Linked DNA regions of Arabidopsis thaliana. The protein of the gene in region 4 interacts with the protein of the main gene of each other region in a biochemical or structural test. Each region holds a gene or a part of one and is shown on either strand. Other genes may lie near its edges. The genes, in order: DREB2A, SOS1, NAC13 and RCD1.

What was found.
Region 1: the proteins of RCD1 (region 4) and DREB2A form a complex in vitro, tested with the Arabidopsis thaliana proteins (2 studies listed by BioGRID).
Region 2: the proteins of RCD1 (region 4) and SOS1 form a complex in vitro, tested with the Arabidopsis thaliana proteins (one study listed by BioGRID).
Region 3: the proteins of RCD1 (region 4) and NAC13 form a complex in vitro, tested with the Arabidopsis thaliana proteins (one study listed by BioGRID).

What each region holds. Positions count from the first base shown.
Region 1 is NC_003076.8:1,600,528-1,604,616, reverse strand, and holds DREB2A (DRE-binding protein 2A), read right to left. Parts: upstream 2,413-4,089; 5' UTR 2,248-2,412; intron 1,991-2,247; 5' UTR 1,968-1,990; coding exon 960-1,967; 3' UTR 578-959; downstream 1-577. Other genes in the region: AT5G05420 (FKBP-like peptidyl-prolyl cis-trans isomerase family protein), read left to right, coding at 47-134, 224-265, 354-402, 499-577. UniProt on the Arabidopsis thaliana protein: Transcriptional activator that binds specifically to the DNA sequence 5'-[AG]CCGAC-3'. Binding to the C-repeat/DRE element mediates high salinity- and dehydration-inducible transcription.
Region 2 is NC_003071.7:455,235-463,027, reverse strand, and holds the start of SOS1 (sodium proton exchanger, putative (NHX7) (SOS1)), read right to left. Parts: upstream 6,027-7,793; 5' UTR 5,959-6,026; coding exon 5,733-5,958; intron 5,630-5,732; coding exon 5,579-5,629; intron 5,501-5,578; coding exon 5,409-5,500; intron 5,329-5,408; coding exon 5,251-5,328; intron 5,156-5,250; coding exon 4,998-5,155; intron 4,916-4,997; coding exon 4,814-4,915; intron 4,725-4,813; coding exon 4,607-4,724; intron 4,528-4,606; coding exon 4,475-4,527; intron 4,389-4,474; coding exon 4,323-4,388; intron 4,222-4,322; coding exon 4,177-4,221; intron 4,027-4,176; coding exon 3,974-4,026; intron 3,490-3,973; coding exon 3,305-3,489; intron 3,193-3,304; coding exon 3,148-3,192; intron 3,061-3,147; coding exon 2,953-3,060; intron 2,738-2,952; coding exon 2,506-2,737; intron 2,429-2,505; coding exon 2,129-2,428; intron 1,948-2,128; coding exon 1,850-1,947; intron 1,767-1,849; coding exon 1,635-1,766; intron 1,553-1,634; coding exon 1,334-1,552; intron 1,248-1,333; and 7 more. UniProt on the Arabidopsis thaliana protein: Acts in electroneutral exchange of protons for cations such as Na(+) or Li(+) across plasma membrane. Involved in Na(+) and K(+) homeostasis.
Region 3 is NC_003070.9:11,909,882-11,914,193, reverse strand, and holds NAC13 (NAC domain protein 13), read right to left. Parts: upstream 2,564-4,312; 5' UTR 2,558-2,563; coding exon 2,281-2,557; intron 2,039-2,280; coding exon 1,031-2,038; intron 912-1,030; coding exon 502-911; downstream 1-501. Other genes in the region: AT1G32880 (ARM repeat superfamily protein), read left to right, coding at 1-266. UniProt on the Arabidopsis thaliana protein: Transcriptional activator activated by proteolytic cleavage through regulated intramembrane proteolysis (RIP). Involved in oxidative stress tolerance by mediating regulation of mitochondrial retrograde signaling during mitochondrial dysfunction.
Region 4 is NC_003070.9:11,610,227-11,616,742, reverse strand, and holds RCD1 (WWE protein-protein interaction domain protein family), read right to left. Parts: upstream 4,626-6,516; 5' UTR 4,375-4,625; intron 4,006-4,374; 5' UTR 3,883-4,005; exon of another isoform or gene 3,431-3,882; 5' UTR 3,317-3,430; coding exon 2,193-3,316; intron 2,085-2,192; coding exon 1,837-2,084; intron 1,512-1,836; coding exon 1,432-1,511; intron 1,342-1,431; coding exon 1,183-1,341; intron 1,100-1,182; coding exon 1,004-1,099; coding exon of another isoform or gene 995-1,003; exon of another isoform or gene 912-994; coding exon 849-911; 3' UTR 525-848; downstream 1-524. Other genes in the region: AT1G32225 (uncharacterized protein), read right to left, coding at 6,454-6,516. UniProt on the Arabidopsis thaliana protein: Inactive ADP-ribosyltransferase that functions with SRO1 to regulate oxidative stress, hormonal and developmental responses. Required for embryogenesis, vegetative and reproductive development, and abiotic stress responses.

The DNA.
Region 1 (4,089 bases), on a different chromosome or scaffold from region 4:
GTGTGCAAATATTTGTTGGAGGTCAGTCTATTGTCTCTGAGTGCAGGTAAGTGTCCATTATACTGGAAAGCTTCAGGGGAATGGGAAGATTTTCGATTCCACCGTTGGAAAATCACGTTATAAGTTTCGTCTAGGTTGGTATTATAACTTGATGCGAAAGTAAGAGCTTTATTAATGTGTGAGTGGTACTTGGATACTTATGTGCTTGCTGTTACACATACAGATGCTGGAAAAGTCATTAAGGGATTGGATGTTGGCCTTAATGGTAACCTAGCTAGTTTCTTACTGGTTTTTCTTCACTAAATATGGTCAAATGGTGTGTTGTTTTGATCTCTTTTTGTAAATTTCTAAAGGAATGCTTGTTGGTGGCAAAAGAAAGCTTACAATTCCTCCAGAAATGGGGTAAAGCCTTTGCAAATCTTTTTTTATTTTTCCATAATGTGATGTTTTATTTTAAGCTTTTTTTAATGAGAGATGATAAAATTGTCTGGCTCACAGGTATGGTGCGGAAGGTGCTGGTAGCATTCCCCCTGACTCTTGGCTGGTCTTTGATGTCGAGCTGCTTAATGTTAAATAAAGCTGCCCTCTAATCCCTAGAGAACTTCCTAAGACTCAATCCAATGATGAGTTTTTTTGTGGAGATCGTATAGTTTTTCCTCTTACGATTTCAAATATTGTGAGACACACTAAGGCCCATAAAGCTTCACAAGTGTGTATTATTCATTCCTGTTGTTACAAAACATAAAACATATCTAAAGAACAACTTAAGAGAAGCAGACTAACAAACTATAGTTGTCTTCTCTATTGTCATATCACTGTTTCGATATATACAGTTCACCTTTATAACAAGAAAAAACGTGTTCTGTAGTTCTCTATATCACTAAAACTCGGATAGAGAATCAACAGTCGTTGTGGGATTAAGGCAAATATCAAATCCAAAAAGCTTCATATTGTTTTGTTTAGTTCTCCAGATCCAAGTAACTCAAGTCGTCGAAGAATCCATTACCATCCTTTCCCTCGAGCTGAAACGGAGGTATTCCGTAGTTGAGGCTTTGTAGCGGATCAAAACCACTTTGTTGACTCTCGGGCCTGTATGAACCGTTGGCAACACTGTTCCCCGGGTACCGGTCCTGATTTAAGCCTGCAAACACATCGTCGCCATTTAGGTCACGTAGAAGCTCATCGACATCAAACATGTCTGAAGAATCCAAGTGACTCTGATCCACATCATTGGGCCAACCATAGTCTGCAACAGATAGCGAATCCTGCTGTTGTTGCTGACAGGTTTCTACAATCCCTTGCTCCTTCTGTTTCTCTTTCTCTTTCAGAATATCACTCCAATAGTTATGTTCAAACTCGCTCAGCCAATGCTTATCCGCTTTAACACCTCTCTTCATCTCTTCCGCACCATTCTCCAGACAATACATCGGCTCCACTCCACCGGAGAAGGGTTTAGATTCACAATCTGGATCCTCTGTTTTCACATGAACACAACCAGGAGTCTCAACAGTACACACCTCAGACTGACTTGAGGTACTCGTAACCTCAGACGCATCAGACCGAGGGAAATTAAGACGAGCCAAAGGACCATACATAGCTTTAGCAGCCTCATCATAAGCAGAAGCAGCTTCTTGAGCAGTAGGGAAAGTACCAAGCCAAAGCCTGCTACCTCGATTAGGCTCTCTGATCTCAGCAACCCATTTACCCCAAATCCTTTGCCTAACTCCTCTGAAACTACATCGGCTATTCTCTGGTCCTCCTTTACCTTTCATACAACCCTTCTTCGACCCTTTCGCAGGTACTTTCCTCTTCTTGGTAGAAACTTCTTCTACGGTCTCGTTATACTCTTTCCATCTCTTTAATCTCTCAGCCACAGTAGTACCGTCACCTCTACTTCTAGATTTCCTTTTCCTCGATGTATCAATTTGTGTTCTGTTTCTATCTCCACTCTGATCATAAACTGCCATCTCCTTCCCAGAAACAACACAATCTACAATACAACAACACTTCAATATCAGAACACAAGCTGAAACATAAGGCAAGAGAACTTAAACTTGGTTCAAAATCAGATCGATTTACTTATTTGTTATCAAATTAGGAACACCTAAAATTTCCCAATTTCACAGCTATACCTAAAAGGAAATAATCGAAAACCTAAAGACGAAGATAAACCCTAGAATCACCAATTGACGAGACCTAATCAGAGAAATTAATTGAAAATTTGTAAGAAATCAGAAATCAACGTACCTATAGGGGACGAAATTTGAAAATCAAAGTCTCTTCCTTCGAGTTGATAAATCGCTTTCGTGTTTAGTCTTCTTGCTCGTATCTTTTCTTCTTCTTCTTGTGTGTAGCTTTTTCGAGTTTTCCTCTTCTTTTTATCAGACAGCTTTAGCAGAAATCAAAATATCTAAGGAAGACAAAGTATCTACGGAGTATTTATAGCCTTCTCTAGATTTTTCTAACATTATTTTATTTTTCTGTTTGAGAGCAAGGTTACGTGTCAGTTTTTGATTCGAACATAAAGGCTTAGACGACTTTTCCGTTCGACGAGTGTCCTCCCGAATCTTCTCGAAACACGCTGTTGATACGGAAAAGTAAAGTTTAAACCTTTTTAAAATTGATTTATGGATAAGATCATAAAACTACTTCATTATTTAAATATTATGAAATTTTAAAATATCTTCATTTTTTTTTTATTAACCCTGACAACACAACACTGTCTCATCTGCTCTTTCTCGATTTTTCTTGGTTTATTGCCAGTTTGCCACTGCATCACACTTACTAGATGTGTAATTGGATGATGATGTTTATTGCCTGTTTTTCTAGTTTTTACAAACGTGCACATTATTCAATTTTGTTTTGATGAGATACTTATCGTTTATATAGATATTTTTAAAAAGATCACGGTTAATATTGTAAAATTAAAGGTTTCCGGTGTACGTACGACATAGAGCGAATTCATAAATGTGTCAGCCAGAAATGTCTTAAACATGAAGTATTAGTTTAAAGTTTAAGCATTAAGTATTAGCTAGAGACGTGTCAAATGGTGAAGCTCAAACTTGGGTGGCTTAGCTTCGAGCAGAGGTGATAGGGTCCATTACCTTATAAAATTTGGGAATCGCAAGTTGTAGCAAAGCAGCAGTCATTTATAGCCTTTGCATGTGCCTCATGTGTCCTTTGCTAACCAAAGCCACTTCATCCACTACGTGTCTCTAACGGCATCGCTAACGTAAGCTCACGCAATTGCCTACGTACTTCAACCTCATGGGCCTTAGTTACTTAACATCCATTATCAAACCCATTGCCTACGTGATACAATCCCATGTGCCTCAGTTAATTAACATCCATTATCAAACCCTTAAAGCCCGTTAATCTAAATTAGCCCATTGGATGGGTGTCGTCCATTTTATTTCTACCGTCGGTGTTGCTACTATCTCGCTATCTCAAGCACGATCGGGTGAGCATCTTCTAGTCTAGTCGATTGAGCCTACAAGTTTCTATCTTCTGGATCTATATGAAATTTCAGTTTGTTTGTTTTTTTTTTCGCTGAAGAGAAATTTCAGTTTTTATTGGTCTAAATAAGGCATGAATTTGGAAATCTGTATCTACGAGTTGGTTTCTTCGCTGTAATGCTTGTTTGTTTTTGGTTTAGTGAACAACATTTGGATGATAAATTATTTGTGCGGAAAAAGCTGCAAGATGATGCCATGATGGCAACACTAATTTTGTTGCTGACTGTAGACTCTCTTTTCTTCGACGACCGTGAGAAGAGCTCTGTAAGTTTGGCTTCTTTCTTTCCATATTAGTATGAATAGGTTATTCGCGTGGCTATGAATCATTCAGCATTGTCTAAGGCCTAGGATCGATAGGGAGGAACGCATTCATTACAATGATTTAGGTTATCGATTACAAAACCATTATTGGAAAACGAGATGTAAGTAAAATGTTGACTTGGCTTGGCCAAACCACGTTAGAATTGTGTTAAGAAAAAACGAGCACATAGTGCTCACTAAACTTGGCTCTGTTAACATCCCAAGGGTCGTTGACCTTATGAAAAAAATGTTATCTTGGTTACAGTTCATTTTT
Region 2 (7,793 bases), on a different chromosome or scaffold from region 4:
CCTTTCAGAGGAAGCTGACACGCATGTTTACGGGTTTCAAGCTGCTTCTTGGTCACAATTGAACTTTCTGATTTGGCTGAAACGAGACCTTGAGCTGGGTTTAGTGGAAGTTTTTTGTACAACAAGTTATCTTGTAACTTGTTATTATAGATCCCACCGAAACTTACACTCCTTCTGTACACATTAACCTATATTCGAGAATATCAGAAGATAAAAACCTTCAGGTTAGTCGAGAAGTTCATCGATAACAACCTTTAAAAGAATCAACATTGAGATCTTTTTTACCATGCTGCCGAAAATGCTGAGTTGCATTGCTCGTTCAGATAAACTTAATGTCGTTTTATTGATCTCTTGTTGTTGTTTGGCGTAAATATTTTCAGGCCAGCTCATGAGACCTCTGTGTTCTTTACGAAATGATCTCTGAAGCTGATCAGAGCTTGAGCTACGTGGTGGTGTTAACGAAGATGGTCTTCGATGTAGAGTCCTATCAGCTCCAAATGCTCCAATGTTGAAGATGATTGCTCTTGCTCTCGTCTCAACAATATACTGTGTTGCTTGTTGTGAGAAACTGACTCTCATGATACCTGTGGTCAAAAAAACAAAACACATTTTTGATTTAATTCGATTTATATCATTCGCTGACATTTAAAAAGGTTTGATCCTGCTGTACTGTGCAATTAATTACCTGAAGCTTCTGATGAATTATGGAAGCTTTGATTCCCGTTAGAAGGTGATAATGCGGCGGGAGATGATATAAGCTCTTCTTTGATACCAACCGGTTTTACGAATCCTTCTAATAATAAACCAATGCTGTTGCAGTCGATTTCGATTGATTCTCCCGTCACATATGTTGTAAGTTTCGAGCTTTCAGTTGAAACAAGGGCTCGTAATTCTTGCATTGCCACACTTTCAAATATCTGAGGACGCAAGAGTTTGAGAAGAACCAATGCACTTTCCTGCAAACAAAAAAAACCGAAAAAAGTTGAAGCAACTTAACAATCAAGAAATGAGTCTCTCTAAAATGGATTCTAATAGAGACGTACCTGCCAAAGGAAATCATCGATGGTAGAATCTGATTGTAGTGATAGAATTTTCTCGCTATCAATGAAAAAGCAAAGAACCATAGAATCTGTAATCAAGTCGCACAGATATGGCTTCCCAGTGAGGACTTCGTAGAGTCCCAATGTACTACCGTGAGAAAAAGTTGGATGCAGCGAGTGATTGTTGCTTAAGATCTTACTTTTCCACTGTAGGATTGTTATAACATTCAGTTATGAAGGTAATAGATCATACAGACTTACGAGTTAAAAGTAAAAGATAAGTTTTGGGTTACCTTAACGATGCCATCAAAAATAAGCCAGACTCCAGTTGGCTTTGAACCTTCTTTATAAAGCGTGACACCACGCAGTTTCATTGGTTCTTTTTTCGAGTGTTTTAAAGGTTCACAAAATGCAGGAGGAAGAGCAACCGATAACGGATGTGAGGTGATCATGTCGCTCAATTTTGGAAGTTTAACTATTGGAGGGTTTCTCAAAAGCTTTTTCAAGCCGGTCTGCAGAGATAGATTTGACCAAAAGCATAAGACAAAAGAGACAAGACTATAGTTGAAGGAATGAGATTCTTTAATTTGGTACCTGGACAGCATCATGAAGATGAGCGATTTCTTTTTCCTCCAACAAGCCAACCTTCTCGAGGTTTTCAATGTAACCGAGTAAATGATTCAACACTGAATATGTTACTTGTTTTGTTTTCACAACACGGAGAACCTGAAACCAATGTTAATCAAAGATTATATGTGCCTCACCGCAAGAAAGATAAGTCACCCGAAAGAAATGACAAGACTCTCAACCTGAGGAAATGAAGATCGGACTTTTTCCAAGAACTTTTTTGCTTCCTCTCCTTCCTTTTCACTTTCATTGATTACAATGGAACCAATATTACTCTCCCCTGTGTAGAGAAGATAGATAAGTATGAGACAAAACTAGGGTTGGGTTAATGTATTGTTCTTACTAAGTTGAGATACTTGCAAACAAAAACTCTGACAATTAATGATGATACGGTACAAGTTTTATTCTTAGTCATTGTTTTCAAAGTGTGATGCAGACTGCAGAGTATGGATTGTACATACCTAGAAAATCATACAATTGCTGTCGTGCAATTGTATGTGCGCGAAGAAACGCAGCAGAAATGTAGCAAGCAGATTCTAGTCTTTCGACAGCAAAGTATGTGACCAACTTGCGTGGGACAACTTTAGAATGAAGAAAGTTGTAGTAATTTGGGAAATTGACATGTGGTTTTAGACCTCTCCAATCACATAAAGTTGTAGAAACCTGATCAAGCGCCTCATCCACTGACTGCATCAAAATATTAGCAGTAACTTCAGATATTCTGCCCTCATCAAGCATCTCCCAGTAAGTTGCTTGCACACCTGACACAACCAATTTTCAAAGTGTCAATAATCTACCAGGTAAAATAGTATATTGGAGGGTACATGATCATAACTACCATTTAAGAACCGCATACGTATGTCCTTTAAACTTTTAGGGTCAAGACTTCCAATTTTAGAGCCATTGTGAGGATGATGAACTAGTTCCCCTTCTGAACCTTTTAGGCTTGAAATATAACTTTCAACTGTAGGCCAGTCAGCAGGTCCTAGCTCCTCATCGTCTCCTAGATCTTGAAACGCTCGTAAGGCCTTATTCAACATTTCGTACTTTGTATATTCCAATATTCGTTTCTGTCAAAAGGAAAGTGGTTTCTAATAAGGTTCTTCGAATACATTACTGACTAGAACATACAGACCCTATTGAACTATACAGCTTAAAGGCTCAGACTCAGGCTAACACGGTCACTTACACATGAATACAAAGCATAAGCAAAAAAATCTCTGTTTACACATATATTTGATTACTTAAAACTCGGAAAGTTATTCGTATGAGAGAAGTTTTTGACCTTGGGGGCTGGTAAAATATCCATGCGAAGAAGGCGTAGAACAAATTGGGTAGTGGATCCATTAACTATCAGAGTTAGGAACACAATTCCACCCGTGAAGAAAAGAAACTGCAAAAGAACTGAGAATATGAAGAGACAAAACAATAATTTGCATAATCATTTTAAGTTGTCAATAACATCTTTAGACTAACTTACCAATGTTCCAGTCTCCTTGCTGATATGTGAATTTCCGCTTGATTGCTGAATCAAATGAGTGCGAGTAAGTCAGCACAGAATCAATGTGGCTGGAAAAAAACATTGTGCAGAAATTTAAGAGAGAAGAACAACTTTAACAGATGTTCTTAAAATTAACCTTCACGGATAAAGAAAGTGCAAGAGCCACTGCGCCCCTCAAACCAGACCATACGAGTATAATGGATTCTTTCCAATCCAAACCATAGCCAAAACGACATAAAAGTGGATATAGAACTCCAACAACAACAACACGCGATAGTTGGATGTAAACGTATAGCAGAAAAAGAAATCGCCATGAATTCCCTGTAAGAAATTTGGGTCGTGAAGAGTTGTTAGATCCAAAATATAAAAAATAGTTAAAGTTAAGTATATCATGTGCCTTATGCAGATATGGTTCCAGAGAAAAAATATATGGTTCCAAGACAGTACATCTCTAACAGGTACTTAATAATAATAACAGACTGGTGAAAGAATACAATTGTCTCAGTCCTAGCACAGTGGTAACTTTCGCTCAATATTTCGTAACCAATAATGCCAGTTTTTTTCTTATTCTTGTAACTGATTCACGTTATGGAATTAGTGATCCTTCGAGAACCAAAGACCATGAACAGTAAGGTGTGTTAACAACGACAGAAAACTATGATAACAGGTGGGAGTCCTATGTAATGACTTAGATCTCATCTTCAATTAACAGTGAACTGTCGAAAATGCAGACAAAACTATGTTCACAAAATTTACTTTAGCTAGGAAAAAAATACTGTACACTATCAACATTAAATAATGGCACCTTGGTAGGCAATCTTATCACTGTCGAGAATGCCTTCAGCAATGACAACACCACTGCAAACATAAAACGAGAAACACAGTCAATATTGCAACACCAGGCTAAAGAGTAGACTGCAGTAAAATAGCTCTTTTTTCTACCCATGAGCTTCTATTTTAGGGTTGGCAAGCACAAGCATGATATGAGTCTATAAAATTTACCCTTACCTGAGGATAAATATCAAAGTGTTTGCAATATATGCAACCATTTCCCTGCACAAGTTACCGGGAAAATTTATATCACACAGATCAACCTTTTACATAGAGTTACAATATAAAAAAACAAGTCCAAATTCCACAAGTTCTGGAAATACCAGAAGTGATGCAAGCTTTTTTGACTGTCACCTTTAAAGGCTGTCCTTGCAAATGCAGCATAAAACCTGTTACAGTTATTTTATGAGAAGAGACTTCTTAAATGATAACAAAAGAAAGGGAAAAAAAAAATAACGAGATCACTGAAATTTACATGCCCAAAGTCATGACCGTCAAAACACCAGAAGCCCCAGCCCACTCTTGAGCCTGTCACACAATAAACTCTCAGTTTTACTACAAAGAGAATATCTTAGCACAGGAATTCAAGGTCTACAGAAAGACGTACAGTGTAGTATGCGAAATAGCTCACTGCAATTGTAAGAGTAATCTCTATTACAGTGTCATTGAATATGAACTTGAGCCAAATAACTGATGCAATGCCAAACGCCAGACCAATGCCTACACTAAATAGACAGAAGAACACGTTGGACTGATAAGAACACAGCAGCAACTTGATATCACTAACAACAGATGAAAAAAGATCAAGACATACGCTCCAAGTGCGACTTTAAGCAGAAATTTGATTATAGAACTCCAGTCAGAGTTTTGCCCCATAGCCATCTTTAAGAATAACTGGAAAACAACAATCGCCGTCCTGGAATTGTTGTTAAAAATCATGAAGAGTGAGCATAAATGTCAAAACTAACCAAACCATGACAGAAGATAACGTCATTTACCCATCATTCATCAGGGATTCCCCTTCAATTATGGTGCTTAGCTTCTTACTAGCACCAAGCTCCTTTAGCAAAGCAACAACAGCAACCGGATCAGTAGCACTTAAAAGTCCCCCAAGCAACAAGGACGTTTTCCAGTCCCATTCATACGGAAACGTGACCTGCATATAGCAAGTATAGTTTCATAACATAATAATCGATTTGTCTTTCTTTGTTTTCAGGACAGCTACTTAATACCAACCAGGCTAATTCATACCTTCACAAGCGATCCAAGACAAGCTGTTGAAATAAGAACTCCAGGGACAGCAAGTAACACCATTTGTCCCAGACACCTCTAAAGAATCATGCAAGTATTCAGTACCTATTTCTCTTAACCTTTAAGCTTAACTAGGAATTAGAGCCAGAGGAATAAACCTTAATTTGGTGAACTTCCATTGAAAACGAACTCTCGAAAAGAAGAGCCGGAAGAAAAACAGCTAAAAGAAGTTCTGGATCGATCTCATTCCCTGCACAATAACATTGATTCTATAGTTCTTACAAAGCCAGCCATGGAAGAGAAGAAAAATTCGAAACTAAAAACTTACAGATACGAATTCCATGGCCGATCTTTCCAAGGTTATGTTTAGCTCCATATTCTGAAACACCAAACAACATGAATTAGCAATTAAGCATGATTACGTTGACTTCAAGGATTAAAACAGATGAAGAAATCAGAAATTCCATGGAACGAAATCGAACCGAGAGATCCAAGAGCAATTCCGATAACGAGAAGAGCGACAGTGTAAGGAACCCTAGTTCCACGAAGCAAGTGCCTAGAAGCAATACCGAGTACCAGAGACATTCCGACGAAGAGAACGGCGTCGACAGGGCTAGATTCTAGTTTGGAAGAAGAAGAAGAAGAAGACGAATCGGTCGCTTCCTCCAGAAATCTATACGCCATCGTCGCGTCGATTACAGTCGTCATTTTATTTGAATATATCTAAGAAGCAACAACACAGAGGAAGAAGAAGAATGCTCGTTCACTGAAAAAATAAATAGCTGAAAGAGAGTAAATACTTATAGAGCTATACATACACACGTGTATAGTACTGTAGTGTTAAATTAAAATTAAATTTTACTATTAATTTTGTTTATGATAACATTATCATATTTTTCTGCTATATATTTTTCACAATTTTCAGCCGACCAATTCTTCAATGTTTATATTTTTTCTGACCAAGAGTATATTAGAACCAGAATTAGATAAATTAATGGAAATATAATGATGACAAAAAAATAATATAAATATAATATATAGTTTGTTTTGGATTTTATAGATTGATGTCATATAGATGTGAATGTGACTATGGTATCTTCACAATGAAATTAGTGCTTAATTTGTGTACAAGAATTTATTGAAATTGAGTTTATTTGTAATAAGTATTCCAAAACCTGGTTTGGCCTTAAAAGGAAAAGAAATATTCGTAGTTGGTTTTTTGACATTTTGGGACATATTTTTCTTATGATTTAATTGATAAGACCTCTTACTGTTGTACTTTTTTGAATAAACAATTGCAAATGTAAATTGGCTATTTTAGAATTAGACGACTAGCCTACCAAAAATACATTTATAATGTGGATTTTGATATGTGTGTGAGTGTGTTTACTTCGTGGAGTTTGATGTGTTTAAGGTTTCGAAAATATTTGAGAATTTGGATTAGCCTGACTCTATTCGGCTGATCCAAAACATTAATCTGATACCTTTCAATTCTTCACGTTAAATTTATAATATTTTTTAAACTTTCAATTATGCTTAGCTGATGCACAACAACATTTTCAATTTCGCATATCAGAATAACACCAATTATCATTTTCATGCTACCCAGAAGCACCTACAAGGTATCAAGTGTGCATGTTAAAAGACTGTTTGGGTTAGTATTGATTAATCGACCAACCGTCGATCCTAATGAAATGCTCAAAGATAGAATCCAACATAAAGAATCTCTATTGGTATTCAAGATTTGCTTATAGAGTAGTGATTGTTAGTTAGTTAGTTTGTTATTCTTTGATTTTCCAATCAGCTTACGAAGATTTTTCAAGAGTAGAGATGCTAACAACATGCATAATAATTTGTCTAATGGTAAATTCTACAATAGGAAAAGAGTTTACATTGATTACTCTATCATTAGTAGTTCAGGGGATAGTAGATGTTTGTTTTGTTCTAAGGCTTATGTTTATGCTCTGGAAAACTGGTTCCAGGCGAGAAGATTCAGAGAGAACTCGTTGATGGATTACATATCATGGTCGCTGATGAGTGTATGATTCGCCACCACCATCAAAGAAGGTGCAAAATCAATAAGTATCAGAGCTGTTACAAAAATAAACTTTATAAATAAATAAAATTATTGTCTGTGTAATTAACATCTTAATTTTATAGTGTTCTTATTTATCTGGTTTGGTTGCAAAAAATTGAGTTTAGTTAAGATAATCAGGTATATAAATTACTACATCATTCATTTTATGTACAAAAAATTTGGTTTATATTCCAATTGATAATACTTTTTACTTGCTTTGCTTTAATCAATTTCATAAACGAGATACTATTGTGAAAAAAAAAAACGAGGCACTATTGATCTTTTTTCTTTTGACCACCTTTTTATTTGTATCTTCATCATCATGATTTTGTTAAAGAGTAAAAAGAACATTACTGATTGTTATAGTCACATGGAATGCAATAAAACTCCTATAAATAGTAGAAAGCACAAGAACGAGAGAATCACTCTACCAATAGAAAATTGCTACTTATTAAAAAAAAAACGA
Region 3 (4,312 bases), 300 kb from region 4:
TATGTGATATCCTGTTTTGTCCAGATGTAAAAACCATCTTAAAGTGTCTGGATGGAATGGAAAACACATTGAAGGTTGGAGAGGCTGAAAAGAACGCAGGAGACGACGTGAGCTGGTATACTCGACTGATCGAAGCGGAAGGGCTAGATAAGATTTTGAACCTGCAAAGACACGAAAACATCGAGATCTACGACAAGGCTTTGAAGATTCTGCAGACTTACTGGCTTGAAGAGGATGATGAGGATATACAACAACCTCCAAGTTAATAATCTAGTTAAGTAACATCATTTGTTCAAATATCCTAAAAGATAAGAAAATTCTTTTGCTTATTTCTATTGGTACTTTTTTAACAATACCAGAGAAAACTTCCAAGCATAAACTGTGATACTAAACAGCTTCTGAATCTAATAATCCAAGAGAATAATTACAATGACTTGACTCTCTAATGGTTCACACAAAACCAAGCCTTTATGTCTCTTAACCTCTTGGATTTTTCGGTTCTCACCATAACAAAGGCCTCCCTGAACCTCCCATTGTTCCTATGATCACCCAAAACAAAGCACATAAAGCCCCAATGATCGATAAGCAAAAGAAACCTTTGTTCTTCTTCTTCTTCTTATCGTTGTTTCCTCCAGACTTGTTCCTCTTCACTGCTGAGTCACTATCCATAACAACAACATTATTACCTGTGCTTTTAGAAGTAAACCTGAAACGACCACCACTGGTTGACATTCTAACAAGGTTCAGCTTCACAAATGGATTCTCTGATGCATATGCTGGCTTTGCAGGAATGGATTCCAGGAAAGTCCATACACTAGAAGCAAACTTACTAGACTCGTCTTTTGACGGGTCATCTTCATTAGTTGTACTTATACCAGAAGGAACAGGGTTTAGGAATTCAGATGAATCACCTGTCAAGGGAATATGATTAGGATAAGAAGCCAGTCGCTTTCCTCACAATTAGATAGAATATTTAGTATGCGAGTGAAAAGAGGTATCTACAGGAAAATCTGTTAGTGCTTTCAAGTACCTGTACCAGGCGCCTCACCAAACCGGGTAACGGTAAGTCCGTCATTGTTTAGCTCCTGCACCCACGATGATCCATTGTTTATCTGTCTGGTATAGCTGTTACGGAGTGGCCAGTTACTAGCTTGGTTCTTCCCTGATTGCTGCTGGAACTGGTTATTATTGGCCTGGTAAGTCATTAAAGAAGTATTCACCTGAAGACTTTGTGCAAACCCATTTTTCAAATCACCACTAACAAAATCTAACTGAGGATTTGTCACTCCCAAATCAAGGAAATATGAATCAGCACCAACGAAATCATCATCATTCAGGAGACCAGAACCATCCTCGTTCCAGTTATTCTCCATGACTTCCACAGAAGTTGGTTCAGGTTCAGGTTCCATAAGATCATTGATTTCCAAATACATATCTTCCTCCAGGTTCTCCAGATTATACGTGTCTACATGAGAGTTCAGTCCAGACACCCCATTCTGCTGCAATGTTGGACCAGACTGATCTCTAACCTGACTCATCAGCTCTTCAATATCATTATCATCCAATTCAGATTGGTTAAGCCCTTTCCCCCATAAACTATTATCAACACTAGCCGAAACAACGAGCTGATTAGCAGGCTCATCAACATCATCATCATCATCTTCAGCCCATTCTTCTTCAATAAAAGGAGCTCCATATTGCTCACCATTCTTAGGACCAGACCCACTTTTCTTATAAATCTTGTAAAGAACATAAGCATCCTTAACATCTTCACCACCACACCTCTTGAGCTCCTCTTTGTGCAATGTATACTCATGCATCACCCAATTAGTCCGTTCGCCATTAGGTGCCCTGCCTCTATGGAAAACAAGAGTCTTCTTCTCTCCAACGGGTCTCGAATCACAATGAATGACTCTATCCTTCCCTGTTGCTTTCCAATAGCCACGTTCAGTAGCTCTACTTGACCTACTTCCATGTTTCCTATCCCTTAAGCTGAAAAAGAACCATTGACGATCTCTAGTCTTATACAACGCTTTCTCTACACAAAAAAAAAGAGTCCATTTTTAAAGTCAGAAGCTAAAAAAAAAAAAACCTTTAGAGTGTAAATCAATCAACCATACATACATATGTAACAATCATGCTTGTTCAAATTGAGCAATCTATGAATGAAACAGATAAAAATCGAAACTTGAAAACAGAGCAAAACATTCCAATTTTGAGGTAAACGAAAGCAAATCAAATGAATTAAAGAGTAAGGAGAAGATTTGAAATGAAGGGTACCAGGTAATTCCTCAGGATCAAACTTATAGACATCAGTCTCGCCGATTGCTTCGACTCTGAGTTTTTTCCGACGGATCTTTCTTTTGAGATAATAGACGACAAGTTCTTCGTCCGTCGGATGAAACCTAAAACCTGGAGCTAAACCTCCGTTCTCAACCGACAAGTCCATCACTTTTTTCTCTCTCGTTATCACAAAAAAAAAAACCCTAAAAAGTTTCGATTTTTCTGTACCAAATGGAAGAAGAGTCTTATTCTGCGGAAATATTTTATTTTTCATTTAATTTAATTGGTGTTTTTTCCTTGGAGAAGAAGGTTTGGCTTACAGAGACGACACGTAGCATCTTTGTTTGCGGAATTATTTTACTTTTCATTTCATTTAATTGTTATTTTCTTTTTCCTTCTGGAGAAGTAGAAGGTTTGGCTTCGAGAGACGTCGTTTTTTCGGGTCGGATACCCATTTAGATTCAAATCGGTATTCCAAATTTTCGGAATTTTGGATTTGAGATAGAAAATCTGTTTGGATATATTTTAGATTTTGGGTTCGGATTAAATGTTTTAATTTCTAATTCGGATTCATCAAAATTTCCAAAAATCAAATATTTCATAACTAAATATATTTAAACTACTCAAAAATATAAAGAATATATATATAAAAAACCCAAAACATTTTTTTAACCAAATTTATTCAAAAATAATTAACTATTTAAAATATTTTAAACATTCAAAAATCCGCATGTTTTGACACTTGATTATTAAAAATATAAATATTAATAATATATTATTACTATGTATTTAAATTGTAGATATGTTCCGATATCAGTTCGAATTCGATTTTTGGATTTTGAAATATAGAATTTGTTCATGTATTTTGAAATTTTGAATTTAGATTCGGATCAGATACTCGGATTCGAATATTATGCCTAACTCTAAACGACACGTAAGATTAGAAACTTGATTATAATAAGCGTGATATTTTATTTAGTAATAATAAATTCATCGGCCTACAAAAACTGTGGGTTTTTTTTTAGATGTCCATGATTTCTCCAAATGACTAGAACACAACCGAAGTATTTGAGAATTTTGTTGAGCTCTTGTATATACAGAAAATAACCCATTGGATGTGTTATTTGAGTTTAGTGTTATATTATATTTGAAAGATTTGACTATCTACCATTTATGTTGTATCTTTTCTTCAATTATATATTATAATATATATTTTTAAAGAGTACATAGTTATGTTTTTATTTTATTTTTTTAGAGATGGAGAGAAAGATGAAGCAGCATCATCATCAGATGTGAAAAAGATTGAGTTTACCTTGTTCTATATTAAGAGGTGTTTTAATGTTCTTGCGCAATTCTCTTTCAAATTGAAATGGTTTGTACTTTGTGCCATTACGATTGATATGCTCTACTGGTATCAAGGATTGAGATTGGAAAATTTTAGGTGTCATTATCAAATTGATTGCAAATGGAGAAGATTAGCTGTTTGTCAAAACTTATAGTATTACAATCATGTTCTATTTTTATTTTTCTTAATATCTAGAAGTTCAATAATGAAGATTTTATATTTTTTAGAAGTGAAATCCATATTAAGTTAAATTCATCTTTTTTAGAAAATAAATCATTTTCAACGTACGTCGAACACAATACTTTCATCTGAAAAATTTACCACTAGCTAACACCACGTTGATTACAATCGGGTTTTATTGTTGTATACAAACTATTTTACGTAAATTATGTGTTTTTTGATTAATGTTATGGTTGAACAAAAATGAATTTGTTCTTCGTTCAATACTTATTTAGATAACACCATGGTGAAAGAAATTGTAAAGTTTTTTTTGCTATTTTGGTGGGGTTTTGGCTTCTTTTATTTGGACTTTATTTTTTATTTTCTTTTGGTCTTAATTTCCAGAATTTCTTCATTCTCTGATGGTCTCTTGTACTTTTATTTGAAAATTTAAATTAAATTAAGGTGAGAAAATAAAAGATTACTCAATTTTAAAATAGCACTTAAAATGCTTTTCTCTTGTCT
Region 4 (6,516 bases):
AAGTGAAAGATACATGGCTCCAATCCTCTGTAATATGCAAGAGTTAGGCTCATCATCAATTCCTCGGTTTTAAATTCGTTTAAAGCTAAAATGCCGACTCACAACACAAACAAAAAGGAATAAAATAATGCTTCAGATTATAACCATGAAAAGAAAACAGCCAGAACCATTGTACTTTTGGGTGAACCACTCGGATCAGATTCCAAATCGCTGTTATAGAGAAAGAGATCCCAAACTGACCGTTTACTCTACTCCACAGAGACTCCATAAAATCGAACTGATTGGACCTAGAATATCGAGATATCCACTAGCTTCTCATCGTCAGAGGCCAAGCTTACTCAGTGCGCATCATATAGAGCTCTAAAGGGGAGGAGAGGACCAACACTATTTTCTCCTGGTATTCCTCTAGTCTTGATTTACCCGTAGTACACAAGTGTCAAAGGAACCCAGAGGTGACCAGTTATCATACTCTTAAATAATCCTTCACACAAATGTGAGGCATCTAATAAAGCTAACAGAATAATGAGAAAAAGTATAGTGAAGAAAAGTTTCACGCGATAGGCTTAACGACCAAATTTTCGTCAAGATTCAACGACTTCCACAACAATGTTTTGCTTGCAGCTAAAGAAACAAAGACCCAACGACATCATTGACTAAGTAGAATCATATAATATAGTACGATTTTTCACGACAGAAAGAAAAGTCGACACATTTTAAACTCTACCAACGACCCGACCCAAAACCAAAAGTCTAAAATTAGAAAAAGTCAAAAGGAGAACCACAAAGGCAGGTAGATAGATAAAAAGCAGCTTCCTTTTGATATTCGTCATCATCATCATCCACTTTACTTACAATCCACCTGCACCTTCTTCATGGTCTCTGATGCTTCCTGGAATCTCCTTCGACTTTGGCTGAAGTTAAAACCAAAAAACCTTTGTTGAGCATTTCCGTTTACAAAGTAAACTTATGATCAACAACAATATCTCTACTACTACTATCTTACCTGGTTTTGAAGGGTTGTTATGGTGGACCTTAGCAGATCATCTCCTACAATCACCCGCAGTTTCCTGACAAACTCCGCTCTCGTCATCTTCTTATCCTGCACAACAAATTTCTTATGTATTCCAGCTTATGCAATTACCAATCATAAAGCAAACTCTCAGAATCAGTTTTTTTCTATACCCTCAGTTGTTGGTAGTCAGCATTGATCAACAACATGTCGTTCTCTGCAACCTTATGTGAGATTGCTGCAAACAGAGTAGGAAATGGCATCCATGGAGATTTGGGTCTTGTAGTGCTTGAACCAACACTGTTTGCACTTCCTGAACCTCTTGCTCCCTGCTTTTTAAACACAACAACACCACATATAGTTGTTCAGTCCCTCTTCTTTAATAAGATCATACAAAGAAAAACTGAAGTAACCAAACTCACGTTTGACTCCAATTGAGGAGGAAGATCCTTAGGTCCTTCCAAAGTGACCCCTGAGTTATCACGCTTAGCAATCAAATTACCTGCAGAAACCAGTGTATGTCATCGGACTTCTAATACTACACAAAACATAATTTTGATGGATCGAAATACCCATTAAGGCGTGAGTATCACATCCGACCCCCGGATGATGAATCAGAGACTTGTCTCTTGAAACCCAAATGTGTTATAACACCGGAGGTCGTTAGGTTTATCATTATCACACATGGAACTTTTTTTTCTAAATTTATCAGTTGAGACCTGAGCTTCAGCCAGATCTCTAAGCTGTCTCCCTTTCAATGCGTCATCAGTTGATTTGAATGGGGGAAGATAGAATGTGAGGAACAAAAAAAAGAACAAACTAATCACCTTCAGCATTGGGGAGATTAGACAGCTTGAACCTAACAACAAATTCCGGGAATATATGTGTGTTCATATTGATGTTCCAGACAATGTAATTCTTTGGACTCTCAATGTCATCGACTCCATTGTCATATTCTTCTCCACCAGAAAAGAACTGAGCTTTATCACCACGAAGAAGCTCCATATTCCCCATAATCACACGGCATAAAACCATGTAACGTACTCCGTTTTCGTCAACATCACAGTATCTAGCACTGTAAACAAGTTCATAGTTAGTACTTGACACACAAAGAACCTATTGCAGAGGAAGGTAAAATATACGATCTAAACATGAAAAAAACAGATGAATACGAGGCAAATACCTGAAATAAGGGCAGTCTGCAGCGGTTAAATGGATCCCAACACCATAGATGGACTTTCTGATAAATGCTCCACCAACTCCAAGTCCTTGCATCATCACTGCTGATAAAACTTCCCTCTTTGCAGGAAGCCAGGCATACCTAACGTTTGCATCCCCTCGATGTTTCTTAGTGATCTCAACCTGCTTCTGGAAAAGTGCTAGACGAGCTTCAGCAATCTCACTGGAAAAACGGCCCACATCCAGCACTGGTACATGTCCTAGAGAAGCTGTGCCTACAGCAAACATTTTTTTTACTGCATCTTTATCAAGTACTTCGCTTCCCGTAAGCTTGGCACCAGAGACGACTATAGCATCAGTCTCATCCCATTTCGAAACAGCAGCTTCGAGCTTGCGGCTGCAGCTATCCTCCGTAGCCTCGTCATAGTGCTCATTTGAAGATCGTTGAGCAAGGGGAACATCGTCCATCATATTATCACCAGACTCATCACTGCACTCCTCCAAATTTAACCTCGGTGTCTCGCCACCATTAACATCAATCTCTAGGCGAAGTTTGATATCATGAGGAGCATTCTGTTTTGGGTCTTCCACACATTTATGATGGCAGTAATTGGTCCTTTCATCACTCTCATAAATTTCAGGGAAAAAGCACTTTCCTGCATTGTCAATCCATGCAAGAGGGGTTTTTGCTCCTGTTTCCATGTCTAGTCTTTGCATGTGCAAGAAGTCCAAAATAAAACTGTGACCGCATAACTTGAACTCAATTGCGGCGCTCTTTTCTTCTAATTCATTCTGGATGGCGCATATAACGTGCTCAGGCAAATCATTCCATTCGCCATTCTCATACATCATAACACGTTTAGCGATTCCAGTCTTCTTAAAATAAGTGTAATATCTGACCAGCGCCTTCCCAGAGCGATTCTCGTAAGCGCTAAGCTTGTTTTCACCTTCCAGCCTTCTTCTTTTGTCAGGAATTTGGCACTGCCCGTTCGGTGGGGGCACATTTTGCAGCTTTGCACACGAAACTCCAGTAACATATGCAGCATAGCTTGCTGCGCGCTTCCTCTTTTTTCCGAATCCATCTTCACACCTACTACTATCCAACACCTTGACGATCTTGGCTTCCATTTCTATATATTAACAATACTAAACCTATAACCTTGATAGAAAAAGTCAACTGTGTAACCTCTAAACTCCCTAGCAGTCCTAAAGATAGTGTCTTGCCGACAGCATTAGAAAACACTGCACAAAAGAAATGGAAAAGGCTTAAAATATTGAACAACTATATTACAGAGAATAGAGTCAAACAAAAACTCCTCACAGTTTACATGATAAAGAATCAGTAAACAAGAAAGAATCAGCATAACTATATGAGACCTATGATCCTGTAATATCATTCCTTCACAAAAGACATTTGCTACAATTTCCATCAGTAAGTAACATTATGAACAGTCTTTCATTACTTCTTGTTGTATCTTGTGTTATAAAGAGCACAAAGATCCATTACAAAGACGGAAGGTACAAATCAACCTACATAGGAATGAAGCAATAAGAAATGAACATCACACTCAACAAGAACGATCCTATGAGACACTAAAGATAAACACAGAAACAAACCAACAAAAACAAGTAAACCCAATCACCAACACAGAAAAATGAGAACAATAAACCCAAGCCATGAGCTTGAAACTCACCCAACAGTAACAGTTAGAGTCTGATAGATTACAAGTGTGTTCATCTTCTCCGTCATAAAAATAAACACAATCAGAGAAGAAATGCCACGTCTTTTTATAACAGCCGTCAGCAAGATAAAGTTCCTGCAACATCCAAACCAGCAACTTTTTAGCTTTCAATAAAAATTAAAATTCATCTCTCAAGTCAAAATAGCTCTGTTGCTTCACAAAATCCACAAATCGAACCAAATCAATCGCAGTTTCACTGATTTTCAAAATAAACTAAAATCAGAGACGAAAAAACACAGATCGTAAGCATAATCACACGAATCATCCAAAAACTCAATCAAAACAACACAAAACCACTCAAAATCAAACGAATCTAAGCCGATCTACAATCATCGACTTCAACAAAAAAAAACAATTCAAGATAAAAAAAAAAATCCTCAAATCGCATGAGAAGAATTGAAACAAAACGAAAAGAAACTGAACATGAACATGAACATGACGGACCTCTTTTTTCAGATCGATCGCAGGCAACAAGGGTAATCTAAAAGCAAAAGCTGACCAGAAAAAACGGAGGAAAAGGAGAAGATAAGATTTGCTTATAGAGAAAACCCTAAGCCGGCGATGACGACGAAGAAGAAACAGAATCGAAGAGTCATTTATATATAATCGGCGATATTGGAGAGATGATGAAGAAGAAATTCTTAAGTCGGCGGTTCCTGAGTTTTTTTCCTCTTTCTCTAACCAAAAATTTGCTTGGACGAAAAGCAAATCATGTGGGCTTTATTAAAGCTACAAGTCGGTCAGTCAACGTCGAAATCTTATTGGGTGGTGACTTAATTGAAGAGGCGGTCAATACACGCAGATAGATATGGTCGAATACAATAATGGAATAATATTATCATGAGGAGAACAAAAATATTACAATTAAATGTAACGAGGGCAACAATTATAAAATTGTTGAAATTAGAAAAGTGTGTATTGACGGAACATGATTGATAAGATTGTGAATCGATGAATAGACTAGGGGGGCCATTGGAATGGAGATAGCTATCGACATTGAAAAATATTTTCTTTATTGCGTACAAGGTCTAACAAAGTTTTAGTTGTATTGCAAGTGGCAAATAAAATTTTATTAGTTGAGGATAGTTTAGAAGTTTTTGAAAATATTATTTTACAAAGTTATAAGAATATTTAATCAATTTTTAAAAACTTTCTCCAGAAAAATGTTTGTTAACAAAAAATAATTTTCATTATTTCGATAGCCGTTATTTAAATTTGCCGCGATTATTTTTAATGGTTTTTATTTTTTCTGTTTCATTGCCGCGTTTATTTGTAATGATTTTTATTTTTCCGTTTTTCTATAAACAATACTACAATAGCATAAATTTTGAAGTGATATATGGTTTATAAGGGTAAGAATATTTAATCATTTTCAATACAGATAACTTTCAAAATTAGACATACTAAATGAGATATAAAAAATTCCATTGATATACTTCCAATAATTATCACATTTCTAAACTAGCAAAATTTATTTTATTTTAAAACATAGAAGATACGCATAATAGTCAATGAACTATTGACTTGGAAAAGATATCACCTTGGATATTAAGTCTGGACTTTTTGCGTAGTTTTCTTATAAAAAAACTATCAAAATTAAATTTCTACAATTATTCATTGAAAACACAATCTTTGGAAAAGGCTATAATTTGAAAACAATATTTGGAATTGGCTAATTTGAGGATGGATAAATAACATTTCGATTGGCTTAAGAAAGAACACTAGATCGATATCTCTTGGAGAGAGTTAGAACTCTTTTGATGTCTAGACGGATGAAGAATACTTAGTTGATAAATTGTACCTCGCAATTTTTTTCAACTTTGTTTTATAATGGGCCAGTTTTTATTTTTTGGGCTTTAGACAGCATATTAAGATGGACCGGCCGTGACTACGGGTTTAGTTGGTACCGAAAACGGCTGTCTTCCCAATCTTGTAAGATCTATAAAATTCAAGACTAAACTTTTATCATATACACGTTTGTACTATTCGGTGGAAAACCAAAGGATCTATATATACATGCATTCATGGGAATATTATTCTGTGTATGATATGTCACAGCTATATAGTTTGTGTAGCCATGGCTCATATTGAATAATGAAAATGTCACAACTATATAGTTTGTGTAGCCATGGCTCATATTGAATAATGAATATGTCACAACTATATAGTTTTTATATCTCTTATTTTTCTAGAATTTACCAACCTACGATTAGGCCTGTTACGGATCCGGATATCCGGGTTTTTTGGAGTATCCGGATCCGTATCCGTATCCGGCGGATATGTAGTTTTAGGATCCGCATCCGGATCCGTAAACCTCGGATATCCGGATTTCGAATATCCGTGAAAAAACTGGATATCCGCGGATATTCGGGATCCGTTTATTTTTGGGAACAAATTCAATTTCCTATTTCACCAACCAGATTGAATTCACCACCAAAAGAGATCGACGTGTGCCCGACATCAGACTTTGCAAGGCACATACCACCAAGATCTCGTCTTTAACGGTGTCCAATCTGCTCCTCCTCATTCATCTCCGCCGTCGACACTTTGAATCCCATGTATCATCATTCCCGTAAGTAAACTTCC